3 linked regions of the Oreochromis niloticus genome follow. The protein of the gene in region 1 binds, or shares a complex with, the protein of each later gene. Links are inferred from orthologs where the notes say so. Each region holds a gene or a part of one and is shown in the gene's direction. Other genes may lie near its edges. The genes, in order: flcn, lamtor4 and lamtor3.

What was found.
Region 2: flcn (region 1) and lamtor4 share a complex: the UniProt entries of both Homo sapiens proteins name them as parts of the lysosomal folliculin complex. The link is inferred for Oreochromis niloticus from reciprocal best matches to the Homo sapiens genes FLCN and LAMTOR4.
Region 3: flcn (region 1) and lamtor3 share a complex: the UniProt entries of both Homo sapiens proteins name them as parts of the lysosomal folliculin complex. The link is inferred for Oreochromis niloticus from reciprocal best matches to the Homo sapiens genes FLCN and LAMTOR3.

Annotation. Positions count from the first base shown.
Region 1 is NC_031976.2:22,273,120-22,277,876, reverse strand, and holds the start of flcn (folliculin), read left to right. Parts: upstream 1-1,416; 5' UTR 1,417-1,658; intron 1,659-1,827; coding exon 1,828-2,031; intron 2,032-2,147; coding exon 2,148-2,612; intron 2,613-2,695; coding exon 2,696-2,862; intron 2,863-2,947; coding exon 2,948-3,039; intron 3,040-4,757. Other genes in the region: leng9 (leukocyte receptor cluster member 9), read right to left, coding at 751-865. UniProt on the Homo sapiens protein: Multi-functional protein, involved in both the cellular response to amino acid availability and in the regulation of glycolysis.
Region 2 is NC_031981.2:23,194,773-23,199,217, reverse strand, and holds lamtor4 (ragulator complex protein LAMTOR4), read left to right. Parts: upstream 1-1,296; 5' UTR 1,297-1,402; coding exon 1,403-1,405; intron 1,406-2,109; coding exon 2,110-2,193; intron 2,194-2,567; coding exon 2,568-2,685; intron 2,686-2,952; coding exon 2,953-3,050; 3' UTR 3,051-3,136; downstream 3,137-4,445. Other genes in the region: atp6v1f (V-type proton ATPase subunit F), read right to left, coding at 795-952. UniProt on the Homo sapiens protein: As part of the Ragulator complex it is involved in amino acid sensing and activation of mTORC1, a signaling complex promoting cell growth in response to growth factors, energy levels, and amino acids.
Region 3 is NC_031983.2:3,098,297-3,103,053, forward strand, and holds the start of lamtor3 (ragulator complex protein LAMTOR3), read left to right. Parts: upstream 1-1,540; 5' UTR 1,541-1,622; intron 1,623-4,688; exon of another isoform or gene 4,689-4,757. UniProt on the Homo sapiens protein: As part of the Ragulator complex it is involved in amino acid sensing and activation of mTORC1, a signaling complex promoting cell growth in response to growth factors, energy levels, and amino acids.

The DNA of each region.
Region 1 (4,757 bases):
GTGGCAATGACTCAACTCAGAGGACTCAAATGTCAGCCAAGTATGATGTACATGATGAGGTTGCCTTTACACCCAAATAACACACATCCTGCAATACTATTTAGAGACAGGATGAATGAACGTGACTCATGACACAAATACTTTAATTATTAGCTGTGATTTATTTCTTAGAAAGGGAGATGGTTGTCTGGATCAGCCACAAATTTTGGTAGTTTTTTAACTCTCTCTCAAATTGAATGCCTATAAGTAAATGTCTAAGGATGAAAATTAAACATTACAACTTTGAAATTCTTTAGTATACATAAAGTTAATCCACAGATTAGTCTGCTGAGTTCCGAGTGGGAGCAGAAGCGGGCAGATCAGAGTCAGTCATTTCCTCAAATCCTGAAACATTTCCAGCAAAGCAGAGTGCCCCAGCAGGACGTGAAAAATGTAGGAAACAGTTCATTACAGTACTGGACTCCATCCTTCAGCCCCCCTTCTGATGATAAGAGGCTCCGGCCACGCGATTACAAAACTAAGACCTGGCCAGAACTCCTATTGCCCAGAGTAACACAGACTCACACCACAGACTCAACAATATGATTTATAAGTGGATTACTAGGAAAATAATAAGCTGGTGTAATCATATGAGTCAACCAGCAGGGTTTTACTGTGCATGTCTAATAACAAGATGTGCCTCAAATCACCTTAGAAGCTTTCACAGACTGACTTTAGATTACATATTGTAAGTGTGTGAAACTGATTTACCTCCTTTGGCTTTTGGGGTGTCTTTGCCGCTCTGAGAGTCAGCGGGGACCCCTGCCTGTGGACTCGGTGTGTCAGTCGGGTCGGTGGGGGGAACTCCTGATCCACCTGAAGCCATCCTAAGATCTGAGATTTAGAAGTCAAAAAGATCTGCCGTGTCACTGTGTGTAAGTTATCTCTTTGTTGACCACTTAAGAGTGACACACCTATAAAAAACGTTCATGTTTTAATGCGGAAGTGACGGATTAACGTTGTACAGTGTTAAAAGAGAAGCTAATAAACCAGCTAGTCTGCTAAGATAGTATATTTAAACCATATATACGCTTAGAAATCAACCGGAACATACCTTTTAGTACACAAACCTTCAATGAAAACAGTTCCGACTTTTTTTTTATTCCCCTTTAACCCCTTGTTTGTTATACCAGATTGGGTTATGGGTAATGTAGTTCCACTTTTTCGTTTGCCGAGGAATGCGTCGTTTGTCGTACATAAAGCCTGATATTGGCACACAAAAAAGTTGAAAAACTATTAAATATGTTCGCGTGCTTTCACGTCGCTGGTAAAGTATTAAAGATGTTTTTGATTCGACGGTTAAAACGGAGAAAAATGAGCAGCAGTTGGCAGCCACGCGTCATTTGTGCCCGAGCGCGTGACTCTGCATCATGTGACGAGGTCTGTTTTTGTTGCCTGCTGGCAGCTACACAGAGGACAACAAAAAAGTGTAGAAAGCCTCAGTTAAGATGTTAGGAACGATGGTTTTTTAAAATACGGGCTCGATGAAGATTTGATTTTGTTTCACGGCGCTGTTATTTTTTTTTTTTTAACGGCACGGCTTTTTGAACACTACGTCCAATGAATTCCTCTTTGTGAAGTGTCACCAGTCATTTGTTGAACTTGGTTCTGCACCGAAGGTAAGACAGTCTCATACTGCCAGCTGTACCCGTATTTTAACCCCAGTGTAATCTGGTAACGTCAGTGATTAACCAGAACTAGATGTGGGTGTCATGACTGTGGGTGTTCAGATCTAAATCAGACATCTTTAGAACAGTAAACATATGAAAACTTGTTTTGTTCTTTCAGATGAATGCTCTGGTGGCTCTCTGTCACTTCTGTGAGCTCCATGGCCCTCGGACCCTGTTCTGCACTGAGGCACTACACCCGCCTTCCCCATCCCCTTCATCCCAGGCAGGTGCCCAAGTGCCAGGGGACCGAGATGGTGACCGTGATGGTGAAGGTCTAACCATGAAGGCCAACAGCTCAGCCACACAGAAAGAAATGTGTGAGGTGAGTAGAAGGGGCCTGACTGCGACCTTATCAGATACTTGGATCCCTCGCTTTATTTGTTTCTTCATTAATTTTCAGCCTTAAAGTACTAATTTCCTTTTTTCTTTGTCTCATAGGGTTGCCGATCCTTGCCTGCATCTCACCCGGGCTTTGTTAGCATTGATGATGAAACAGGCATCCGCTTCCTCAGCCACCAGCACCCCAGACAGCCCCAGCTTTTCAGCGTGGTCCGACAGGCTTGTGTACGCAGTCTCAGCTGTGAGGTAATTAGTGACATGTTTACGTGGGTGTTGTCTGTGGGCTTTAATCGGCTGATTACTGATATACTTCTTTATGTTTTCTGTTTGTTTTGGTGTCAGGTCTGTCCCGGACGTGAAGGGCCCATTTTTTTTGGAGATGAGCAACATGGATTTGTGTTCTCACACACCTTCTTTATCAAAGACAGTCTCGCTAGAGGCTTCCAGCGTTGGTACAGTATTGTTATGGTAGCCATGGACAGAATCTACCTTATAAACTCCTGGCCTTTCCTGCTGCGTCACCTCAAGCTTACTATACAGAGTCTGCAGAGCACAGCTCTAAAGGTAGAGCACGTATATAAACATAATAAACTCAGCAGACTTATTTATTAGTGCTTCTGATGTCTTTGGACCATCCTTTCCATTAGGTGTTTGACAATGAACAGGGAGTTTGTCCGCAGCGAGCTGTGAGGATGAACAGTGCATTTTCACCTGCAGTTTTTCCACACCAAAGGAGCGGCAATGCAGCCCGTTCGCTGACTTCTCTCACCCAGCATCCTAACCTGTGGGCCAGCCTGCACTCCTCCTTTAGCTGGTGAGTCATTAGGTTCAAAGAAACTGTTCTTCTTTTTCCAGTCAGTCTCTCACCCGGCTAATGAGTGGTCTCACCTCACTTCCAGGTTACTTAAAGCTTGTGGTAGCCGTCTGACGGAGAAGCTCCTGGAAGGAGCCCCCACCGAGGACACTCTGGTGCTCATAGAGAGACAAACAGGTAGATGTATTGACCTCGATTAAGAGGCGTGATATTTATGTATATACAGTTGTGGTCAGAAGTTTGCTCATCATGAACATGACTCTCATAGTAATTTTGGGCTTTAAATGATTTGGTTGAACTGTTATTTTTCCAGGGTGGAATGACTGTAAAGCATACATCTTTAATGACTTTAAAAAACAAGAACTGAATGTGCAAAATTGAATTTATTTGGGATTTTCTCTAATCCACACAGTGTCAAAAATAAACATACAAACTAAAATATATATATATACGCTCCCTCTAATATTTGGTTTAATGTTCCTTAGGAAGTTGCACCTTAATTGTTCAGTAAGTATCTGGCCTATTTTGAGGGCTGGGTAGTTCACCCATCTTCTTGGCAGAGTTCATTTAGATTTGTTGGTTCATTGAACCAGCTCAGCTTATAAGCATAGTCCACATATTTTCTGAGTGAGGTCAGGGCTTAGGGAAGGTCATTTCAGATGCTTAATGTTTTTTTTCCAGCCTGCTTTATCCCTTCCAAAACCAGGTTTGATGTGTTTAGGATCATTATCCTGTGGGAATACCAACTGCGTGGTCATTATCCCATCCACTTTGTACAACATATTATTTGACTGTCAGTCAAAAGGTCTTCGAGCACAATGCTTGACAATTCAAGGCAGACTTGAGCCTTGATGCTTCCTGGCTCAAGTCTTCCAGCATCAACTGACGGTGACAGTTTGGGCCTTCTTACAGAACCTGGTAAAGTGGTGACATATCTGAATAATTTGTTCTTGCATACAACGGTTTTAACTGATAACCTTGGAATCTGTGTATTTTCTGATCTGTTTGTTAGAATGGATCCAAGAGACCGTCCCAGCTAGTGTAAATCTGCAGTTCTTCTTCTTAGATATTCCCTGAGTTCCTTTGACTTTCTCATTGTTCTAAGTATTGGTTAATCCACCGAGTGCTGTCAAACAAATCTGTTTATGCTGGCAACGAGAGAAAGTTAATAGGCCTTGGCAAGTAAAGACTTTGGCTATAAAATGATTAGGTTCTACAAACTGGTACACCCAATTCTTATTTTTTAAAGTCATTAAAGATGTTGGCTGTGCAATTATTCTACACTGGAACATGAACCGTGTTCCAGGGTAGAAAGATAATCTAACCAGCAAATTCTTGTGGTTTTCTGAGTGAATTACAAGTCCCACTGGTGGGGCTTGGAGGTCCCACAGGTGGGGCTCAGACAACCAGATGAAAAATATGAAATTGCTGAAGTTTTTAAAACAAAATTCAACGTGCATCTTTTTTTTCTTGTTGATGACTGGTTTAAAAAAAATGTGCAGTGTCACCTTGACTCAGCTTCTGAAGTGTGTGTGAAAAAGTTTAAAAACCACTTCTTTTAGATGTGGTTAGGTTCATTTTCTTCTTAAATTAACCTAAACTCATGACAGCATGTCATTAGTTTGAACAACATGCTTATGGTTTTTATCATCTGACTGAAAAACCTCTGGTGAAAGTGTGAATCACCAGACGAGTCTGTGGAGAGACGCCAGAAAAACAGTGATTCACTAAAGCATCCCAACTTTCCAGAGAGTTCACACAATTCCAGTCAGTATTCAGTAATATCATTTACAAAAAAAACAACCCCAGTATTTACAGGGAAACTTTCTCTGACAGTATTATCTCTGGAATTTTAAATCCTATTCTGGCTCATATGACCAAGAATCTGTTCATTT
Region 2 (4,445 bases), on another chromosome or scaffold:
CTGAAACTAACTTATAAATGCAAGTCAACAATTAAGCAAAAGGAAAAAAATGTGTTAAGCGATCATAAAAGATTATATATTATAAAATATCATAATTATTGTAAAGTATTTAAATTTGTGCTAATATTATATCCCTCATTGCAAATGCTGATTTCATACACACAGATTTAATAAAAAGCTCTGGTTCTTCAATAGAGTCCGGTGTGAGAGCTAACATGCTACATTTACAAAGATCGCGATTTTTTATGTGTAGTTTTAATGAAGTCAGAAAGACTGAATAACTTTTAAGATACACTGATTTTTGAAGTCAGGTTTAGGCATCCACAGAAACAGGAACAGACTGAAGTCTTTTCTAATTTTACGGCGTTTAACAGGTTAAGTTCATTTCATGAAGATTAACTGAGAGCTGGATTAATATATTGATCGGCTGATCAATCCATTACACTCTATCAGACGATCATCTAAGGGCTGAAAACTCAGGATGCTGGATGTAGTTACAGACTGGGCCCAAATACACCAGAGTCCATTCGCATTTTCATCAAAAACGCAGCCGGCCTCCTGTCCTACAGCCAGTGTTTTTGAAGTCATCGAGGGGTTAATACGGTTCCAGGCTGGTGCTGTCCGAATTATTATAAAACCGATCTGACTTTTGACCCACGAGGACCACCGACACCTTCGGTCAGTTGACACTGACAGAAACACGTGAAATGAGCGTTAAATGGGCTGATTTTTTAACACATTTTGGTGTGTGTGTGTGTGTGTGTGTGTGTGTGTGCGTGTGGAGTCCATCTTACTTGAAAGTCTCCTCGATCTCGGTGATGCTTGTCTCCTTCTCCACCACCAGGAAGTTCGGTTTCCGGTTCTTGTTCAGTTCTCCGATCCCGCCGAGCAAGAAGCCCGTGCACGTGTCCTCGTCTCCGATCACGGCGATCAGTTTCCCGCGGCCGGCCATCACGGAGATGCAGGTGAGATTCCCGGAGAGAAACACTCAGCTTCACGGGACAGGTCATGTGAGGGATCAGCTGACCCGCACTTCCGCTTCAATATAGCGCCCCCTATAGAAATTAACAAACTATAAACGATCACTCATTTATTTGATCAAACTTCCTTTGTGTGTGTGTTTTATTTTATTTTCATCTTTATCGGAATGGCAACAATGAGGTCATGTTTAGACAGCAACGTCCTCGGTATTAATCCAAACATTCCTAAAATGTCACAAACGTTTATTCGTATTTGCTTTGATAATCGGGACAAGCACAGATCGTCAGTCCCGCACTGTGCGTGAGTGTCTGTGTCTGGCTCTTTTGTCCGACAGGACATGAAGGCCTCAGCAGTCACGTGAGGCTCTGTGATAAAGACGGAAATGCGCAGCTGCGGGCTGTAGAAGCAGAAGAAGACGAAGATGGTGAGTTTAAAGTTTTACTTTGATTCTCGTTTTTGGGGGGGTTGTTTATGGGGTTTTTTTGTTTTGTTTTTAATTCAGCGTTCAGTGCCTCGGTGAGGCGTTCACGGATCTCGGACTGTCCGCTGTGTGCCGTTCACTAACGCTGTTAGCTTCCTGTTAGCCTCTCTGTGAACAAGGAGGATAAACACGCGGAAATGCTTCCCTTCAAAAAATGAAACCCAGAGCGCTCCAAGGGTGAAGCTTGGGGCTCTCTTCAGAGTTATAATCACTGATAATCGGGCTCAATGCAAATACCTGTGGGACAGCAACAGCGCCCCTCTGCAGGAAGGGAGTGGTACAAACAGAGAGGAGGGGGAGTGACATTCAAAGCGGGTTTACCTGCGCCCTGGGGTCTAACCTGTGTTCCTGTGAAACAGGGAGTGTGTGTCATGTATGCAGGACGAATGTAACCATGGTAACCAAGAAACCATCTTTAAAGGGGTAACCCCATTGGCTCCTGAGGACCACAGGTCGTACCTGATGAAGATCCAGAATTGTTACTGGACAAATGATCTAAGGCTGTTTAGCGAGTCTCTGAAGCTTCGACCTGAGGAAACGCGCTTCTTGCCCTGCTGATTTTCATTTATCAGTGAACCAATGAGTCATCAAACATCACTTCCTTTTAGCTTCATGATGTTATCCTGATGATGTCGTCCTCTTTTCAGGCCACAGCGGCGCTCACTGCGGGTCTGGAGCGGATCCCGGACCAGCTCGGGTACCTGGTCATCAGTGAGGACGGTGTCCTGGCCGTGAGTCTCTCTGAGCTTTCAGATGTTCAGTTCACAAAGAAGTTCTTTATGAATGCAGTTTGGTCTTTATTTAACCGCACTCATTGTTAAATAAGGGGATTTCTGCATGGACGCTGGTGCTCAGGCTAGTTTGGTCACACAGAGACCAGACTCCATTTAGATTTAAGCTCATTTAACATTCCTACAGGTTAAAATGAATTCACATTTGATACTGCGAGCTGAACTCTGGTCTTTGGTCAGATTATTCTGGATTATTAAAGTGCTATAAACAGGGTGAAATAAGGATCATCAGATTATTAAAATAGATTAAAGAGTCGAGTTAAGTCTATTGATCAGAAGAGGATCAAAGTGATTGATTATTGATTACTGATCAGTCTGCAGGTGAGCTGGAGAATGACGAGCACACAGCAGGTGTCATGATGCAGATGGTTCGAACAGCGAGTCGCTTCAGGTTATCAGGATCAGCTGATCCACCCTTCAAACGCATGTCAGGTATCACAAACACACCTGCACTCTCACTTCATCAGCTACAGTAAAAACAAACATGACTCGGGTGTTTTGCTTTGTTTTTCTCAGACCTGTTAATGATGTCATCACTGTCACATGATTCAAACCTGGCGCATCATCGGCAACATTTTCATGTATTTGATGAGCACGTTGTTCATGTTGCATGATGGCATACAAAGCTCAGGTGGAACCCTGTGACTTCAGGTGGACTAACCTGTGTGTGTGTGTGTGTGTGTGTGTGTGTGTCTGCAGTGATCCTGGACGACTTTGTGTACACAGTGACGGTCTCTGGTCAGAAGGTCTTTGTGGTCAAACGTCAGCACAACCAGCAAGAGCCAATCAGTGTGTAGGAGCTCAGCTGGAGTACAGAGTTGCCATGACGATGATGTTTTTGATGTTTAAAGTTTGTGTGAAATAAAAGTTTTTGAACATGAAACCTTTGGTCTGATCGAGTGGAACTGTGAAGGTGTGAATGCGGAGGATCCCACCTGTAGGACCTGCTGTGAGCAGACCCTAAAAACCTGAAAACATGATTTAACCTTTGTGCCCTCCTCCAATTTTGCACCCTTTCAACACCTTCGTGTACAAAAATGTAAACACACAAAGTCTGCCATAAAGTCCTCATACAGTAACATATGTTCTGCTTTCGCGGAAACGTGGCTGAATGTTCTAGTCGTGGTCATTGGCCCGCTCCCTTGGTGGCTCGGTTTGGCTGGGGGCCGGGTGGTCCTGGGCGCCTGGGGCCATCCTCTCAACTCTTACCAGGGTGGTCAGCCTCTAGCAGGGTCGACTGCCCACTGCCTCTGGTCCTCTTGGGCTGTCACCCCATCTGGGGCCTCCCTCCTTCTCCTGCTGGGATGGGTGCGCAGATGTCACCGAGATGTGTGGCCTCAGGTCTTTGGTACACTTGGGGGCTGCGGATGGTGCGGTTGTCCTGGTTCCATCTGTCTGCCTCTGGGCATCGCTGCAGTTTCCCACCCTCATTATACATTTGTGACAAAGACACCGGTATTCTCACACTCACTCAGGCACGTCATACTATTCCATATATAATGTAATACCTGAAATAACACAAACACAAATGGATAAATAAAAGATTCACATGAAGGAGGAGTCTATTAGATTCTATAGAGTTATTTTTGCAAAAGCAAAATGTGTTGGACACCAGCGAGCCATCACATCATAATTCTGATTGCAAAAGCTGCCCGACAGGACAGGATACAAACATGCCCTTCACTACCACTGAAACCACATTTTTGAATCTCCCTGCCACTGCAGTTTTAAAGCATGCATTCTGTAGTGTCATCTTTTAATTTTAAAGAAAAGTAGTGATTTTTGACATTTTTACTATACCAGATTCAACCATTTTCCCGCTGTAGGCCAAAGCATGACATTCTTGTATTTTTGCCAGTTATGACATGAAGCCATGTGACCACCAGGGGACCCCAAGAGTAATTTATATGGAAATCAACATCTGATTCATCAATGGAAACATTTCTTATGCAAACTGCACCAACATTAAAAAATTCAGCAACAAAAGATAAACAATATATGAAATATCCAGGCTTTGTGTGTTATGGATGCGTGTGTGGGTGAGGATGTGCAGGTCCTGCAGCATGTGCATAAACATGCTAACAAGAGTTTTTGTTTTTGAATACAGTAAAGGCAGGAGGCCATGTTTATCGTGAAGCACCTCTGCAAAGATACATCCCTCCAAGACAGGGGAGGGCAACTCCAGGGCTTGG
Region 3 (4,757 bases), on another chromosome or scaffold:
ATGTGGTCATAAATATTTTGTACTTGTAAATCAGTTTTGTACTTGTAAATCAGGATTTGTATGTGTAGAAAGAATTTGTGCGTGCGTAAAAAAGATTTGTATGTGTAAAAAAGATTTGTGTGTGCGTAAAAAAGATTTGTATGTGTAAAAGATTTGTATGTGTAAAAGATTTGTATGTGTAAAAAGAATTTGTGCGTGCGTAAAAAAGATTTGTATGTGTAAAAAGAATTTGTGTGTGCGTAAAAAAGATTTGTATGTGTAAAAAAGATTTGTGTGTGGACTTAGCCAAAAACCCCCCTGCAAGTTACAAGTACGAATTTTGACCCTATTTTTCTTCCTGTCATCTGATTGATCAATGTCATGTCAATCACAAATGTAACAATCCAATCAGAGAACAGATGGGTTTGGCTGTCGGAGGGGCACTTTTTTGAACTGCAGGTCCTTGAAGGGAATAAATGCCCTTTTACATGCCAACCCAGCGTTTTCCTTCATCACCACGAAGGAAAACAGTCTGTGGTCGTCCGAGTTTGGTGATTTTTGTGTCACAGGTCTACGTGCTTTATACAGGGACTTCCACAGCCTTTTCAACAGCGCTGCGGACCGCGGGGGGGGGGGGCAGTGTTTTGGAAATGACAGTCTTCATTACAAAGCTTTCTTCGTTATGAATTAGCATACATGTTTTTATTGAACATTTAAAGAACTAGCAAAAAAACCAGAAACTGTTGTAGAGGACATAAAGTCAGAGATAGAAACGACAAGGAGCAGGTGCATCTAGTACAGGTAGCGCTGCTGCAAAAACCCACAGAGCTCAGCAGCCAGCGCAACAAATTCTGGATCCTTTGCTTTTAGTTAGCAGTTAGCATTAGCAGCACATCCTGCGTCCGATGTGAAAGGACCTTTATGCTGCGCACTGTGACTCACAGCAATGGTCCCGGGTCAGCCCTGACTTTGTGTTAAACTAATCCTAAAGTAATAATGGTATTTCTAACCACTGACATACCACAACTTTATCCTTTCAACAGCTGCTGAAAGTAAGGGGACCTAGCTGCTATCGGATATTTATATAGAGATCCTCCAGCTTCAAACTGTATTACCCTTCAAGGACCTGCAGTTCAAAAAAGTGCCCCTCCGACAGCCAAACCCATCTGTTCTCTGATTGGATTGTTACATTTGTGATTGACATGACACTGACCAATCAGATGACAGGAAGAAAAATAGGGTCAAAATTCGTACTTGTAACTTGCAGGGTTTTTTTTGGCTAAGTCCACACACAAATCTTTTTTACACATACAAATCTTTTTTACGCACGCACAAATTCTTTTTACACATACAAATCCTGATTTACAAGTACAAAATATTTATGACCACATTTGAGCCCATAGAACCAGTTCTCGATTCCAAGCACGAACACTAACACACAAATTTTACAGGAATCCACGGCTTTCCATATATGAGCAAAAATCACACCACCACTTTCTGAACCAGCCAGGCTTCAGGCGTCGTCAGTGACATCACTCACTCTTAAGGAAACAAGCCTCGATTCACGTTTCATAAAATACTTCCTGGATATTTCGACACACACTCCGAAGCCTTGGCACAGTGCATCCCATCACTCTCTAAAGGTACTTCCTATCGTCTATTCCTAACCTCTTTTCGCTGACCTAGATGAAAATGTAATTTAGATCATGTAAGAATGGGGAGGGGCAAATTTAGGTTCAGAGTTTTAGGGGTGCTCAGCTCCCCATCATAAACAAAAGCGAGTCGTTTATTTTGGCTGGTAGACATGAACATAAAATTTGAGCAAAGGCAAAACAAGGAGCGACAGCTAAACTGAAACCTAAACTGGGAAAAACTAAAAAACTATGAAAACTGTGACAAGACTGTAGAACTATGAATCAACTATGACGACTGTGAATACTGTGACGAGACGTGGAGGGAAACAGACGACCTGACAATGAACAAAGGAAGACCGAGGACTTAAATACACACAGGAGGTGATCAGAGGAAGTGAAAACACACAGGGAAACAGCTGACTAGACAGGGGAAGTGAAACACAATGACAAAGACACACAAGACTCTTTCAAAATAAACCAGGAAACACTGAGAAAATAACACTAACCAAAGAAGAAAACTAAAACACGCAAAACACTGGGTCACAGACACAGTACCGTGACAAAAGCACCATTTTTCATTAAAGACAGTGGAAAATCGCACTGCCACGCCATACACATGAAGCAGTCTGGTCAGAGAACTGCTTTTACATACAGACCCTCCCTTTATTGTGCAGAGAGAATACTAGAAGGAGAGAGGCAGTCTCAGTTTCTTTATGGGAACAGGTAAAAGGGTGATGCCTTACCTGTTCCCAAAACTGTAGGCTGACGCACCTGTTTTATTTATTTTTTTAATTCTTGAAAGAGTAGTAGTCAAGCAGTTCACTGATCATTTGCATAGGAACAGTTTCAAGGGTTTCAGTCAGGATGTGGAGTGCATGATAGCACAGAAACAGCACTAGTGAATTGTCTTCTTATGGCCTCTGACAGTTAACTCATCCCTGTGCCTGTTCTGCTAGACTCAGCATCTGCTAGATGCTCAGTGCAACATTCATTACTATTGAGCACAGTATTTTACTGCAGAGATACAAACTGTTGGTATTAAAGTAACTGCAACAAAGTGGTTTTAATCACAGCTTCACACAGTTAGAGAGTTCCATCAGGTCACTCTGAAAGGTGCTTGAGAAGCCTTTGGCTGCAGCAGAGAGAATTCAAAATCTTGAATAATTATGCCCCACTGTGTCTTAAAGACCTCATACCTCATTATCCTAACTTTGCTTTCAGACTGCAGGGTTCCTTATGATTCTTAGATTTTTTAAAAGTTGAATGGAAAACATAGCCTTTAGCTTTGAGGCGCTACTTTTAGGTCCCAGCTTCAATTAGGGAGGCAGATGCTCTCTCTACTTATAAAATTAGGCTTAAGGTTCCCATTTTTGATAAAGTGTATCAGCTGGATCAGGTGACCCTGTACCACCCCTTAGTTATGCTGCAAAAGACTGGGGAGCTTCCCGTGATGGACTGAGCATTTCTTTTTTATTCATCTCTTTTCAATCTCTTTGTGTTTATACACCACTGGTGCATTTAATAATTAGCGATTATTTCTCTCTTACATGGTTTGCCTTTGATTCTGTCTCTCTTTACTCTCTTCTTTCCCTTTTTCCCTTTACTGGTTGTAGAGAATGGCTGCTCCTCCCTTAGCCTGAGGTTTCTTATTGTTAAAAGGGAGTTTTTCCTTTACACTGTCACTAAGTGTTTGCTCACAGGACAAGTTTAACTATTCATTGTTTACTTATCTGTACTTACCAGGGTACCACCCTATATTCTCCCATCTAAGAAACAAATAATTATACTTGTGGAAAGTCCCTCTCTGGGATGATTACTCACCTGCAGTTCATCTACCTGGGTTGGAGGATTTCATGTTTTGCAGACAACGGAGCAATGTGTGCAAGAAGAATGCAAAAAAGTATCAAATGTAACGAGGTGTTTAGTTGGAAGCGAATGGGCATAGATAGAAATTTGTATACACCGGGTCAATCAGATCAGTATTTGATCAGGGATGTCAAACTCCAGTCCTCAAGGGCCAGTGTCCTGAAACTTTTCCATGTGAATAAAATTAGTAGGTCATTTGCAAGACTCTATAGAACTCCACTGCATGCTGAGGTGGCAACCCCTAATCCTACTGAAGTAAATTAAAGTGAAGTAAAGTCTAAAAGTACGTTTATTGCACCATGTTCATTCACTTATGAGCTGCTGTAACATGAATCAAATGGCTGACTGCAGTCTTCCTAATGACCTACTTATATTATTCAGGTGTGTTGCAGCAGGGACACATGGAAAAGTTTCAGGACACTGGCCCTTGAGGACTGGAGTTTGATACCTGTGATCTCGGGTATGGTTCAGCAACAGTTGTACAAGTTAAACTGTATTCAATAAGAGCCTCTAAGACGTTGCACACTGTGTTTAAATCAACCCCAGCAACAGTATTAGAGATACAGATGAAGGAAATGCCACTAGAAATCAAAAGAGAACTATTATCACTGGGAACTGGGTAAATTTACAGGGCCACAATCAAGATACACTGTTTAAGATGATCTAGTTCACATTTGGCCAGTTTAGTATGACCACTTAATGTTACATGGATGTCTCATAGGAGCTGGAGAAAACCCTTGCAAGCACAGGGAGAACCTGCCAGGGTTTAAGCCAGAAAATCTTTTGCTCTCAGGTGACAGTGCAAAGCACAGAAACAATGTACCACCCTTATCAGCAAATTATGGGATAAAAGGAAAAGAACATTTAGATTTGGCTGTAAAAGAAGCCAAAGAAAGAATTTCAGTTGATCTAATTACCAACGGCAGCTGGATAAAATAAAGAGCATAATAAGACCAAAACTGGGGAAACGTAGAAAAGCAACTAGGGAAAGAAAAGAAAGGAATGATGGAGGGAAGACATATTCATATAATGAATACATATTCATATATTCATCTGTTGGTGTTTTTCTCTGTGCAGTTTACATCAAATACGAAAAACACCAATAGAGAATAGGCAACCGATCCAAGCTCAGTAAAGTGAAAGGTGATCAATGTACTACAAAAAGAGAAGAAAGTGATTTTTGAGCACCTTTCAGGTCTATACCAGTGGGTGGCGCTAATGCGACACTTTGTAGTTTGCCAGCCACTAAAATCAAGAAGAAGAAGTAATCACGTGATT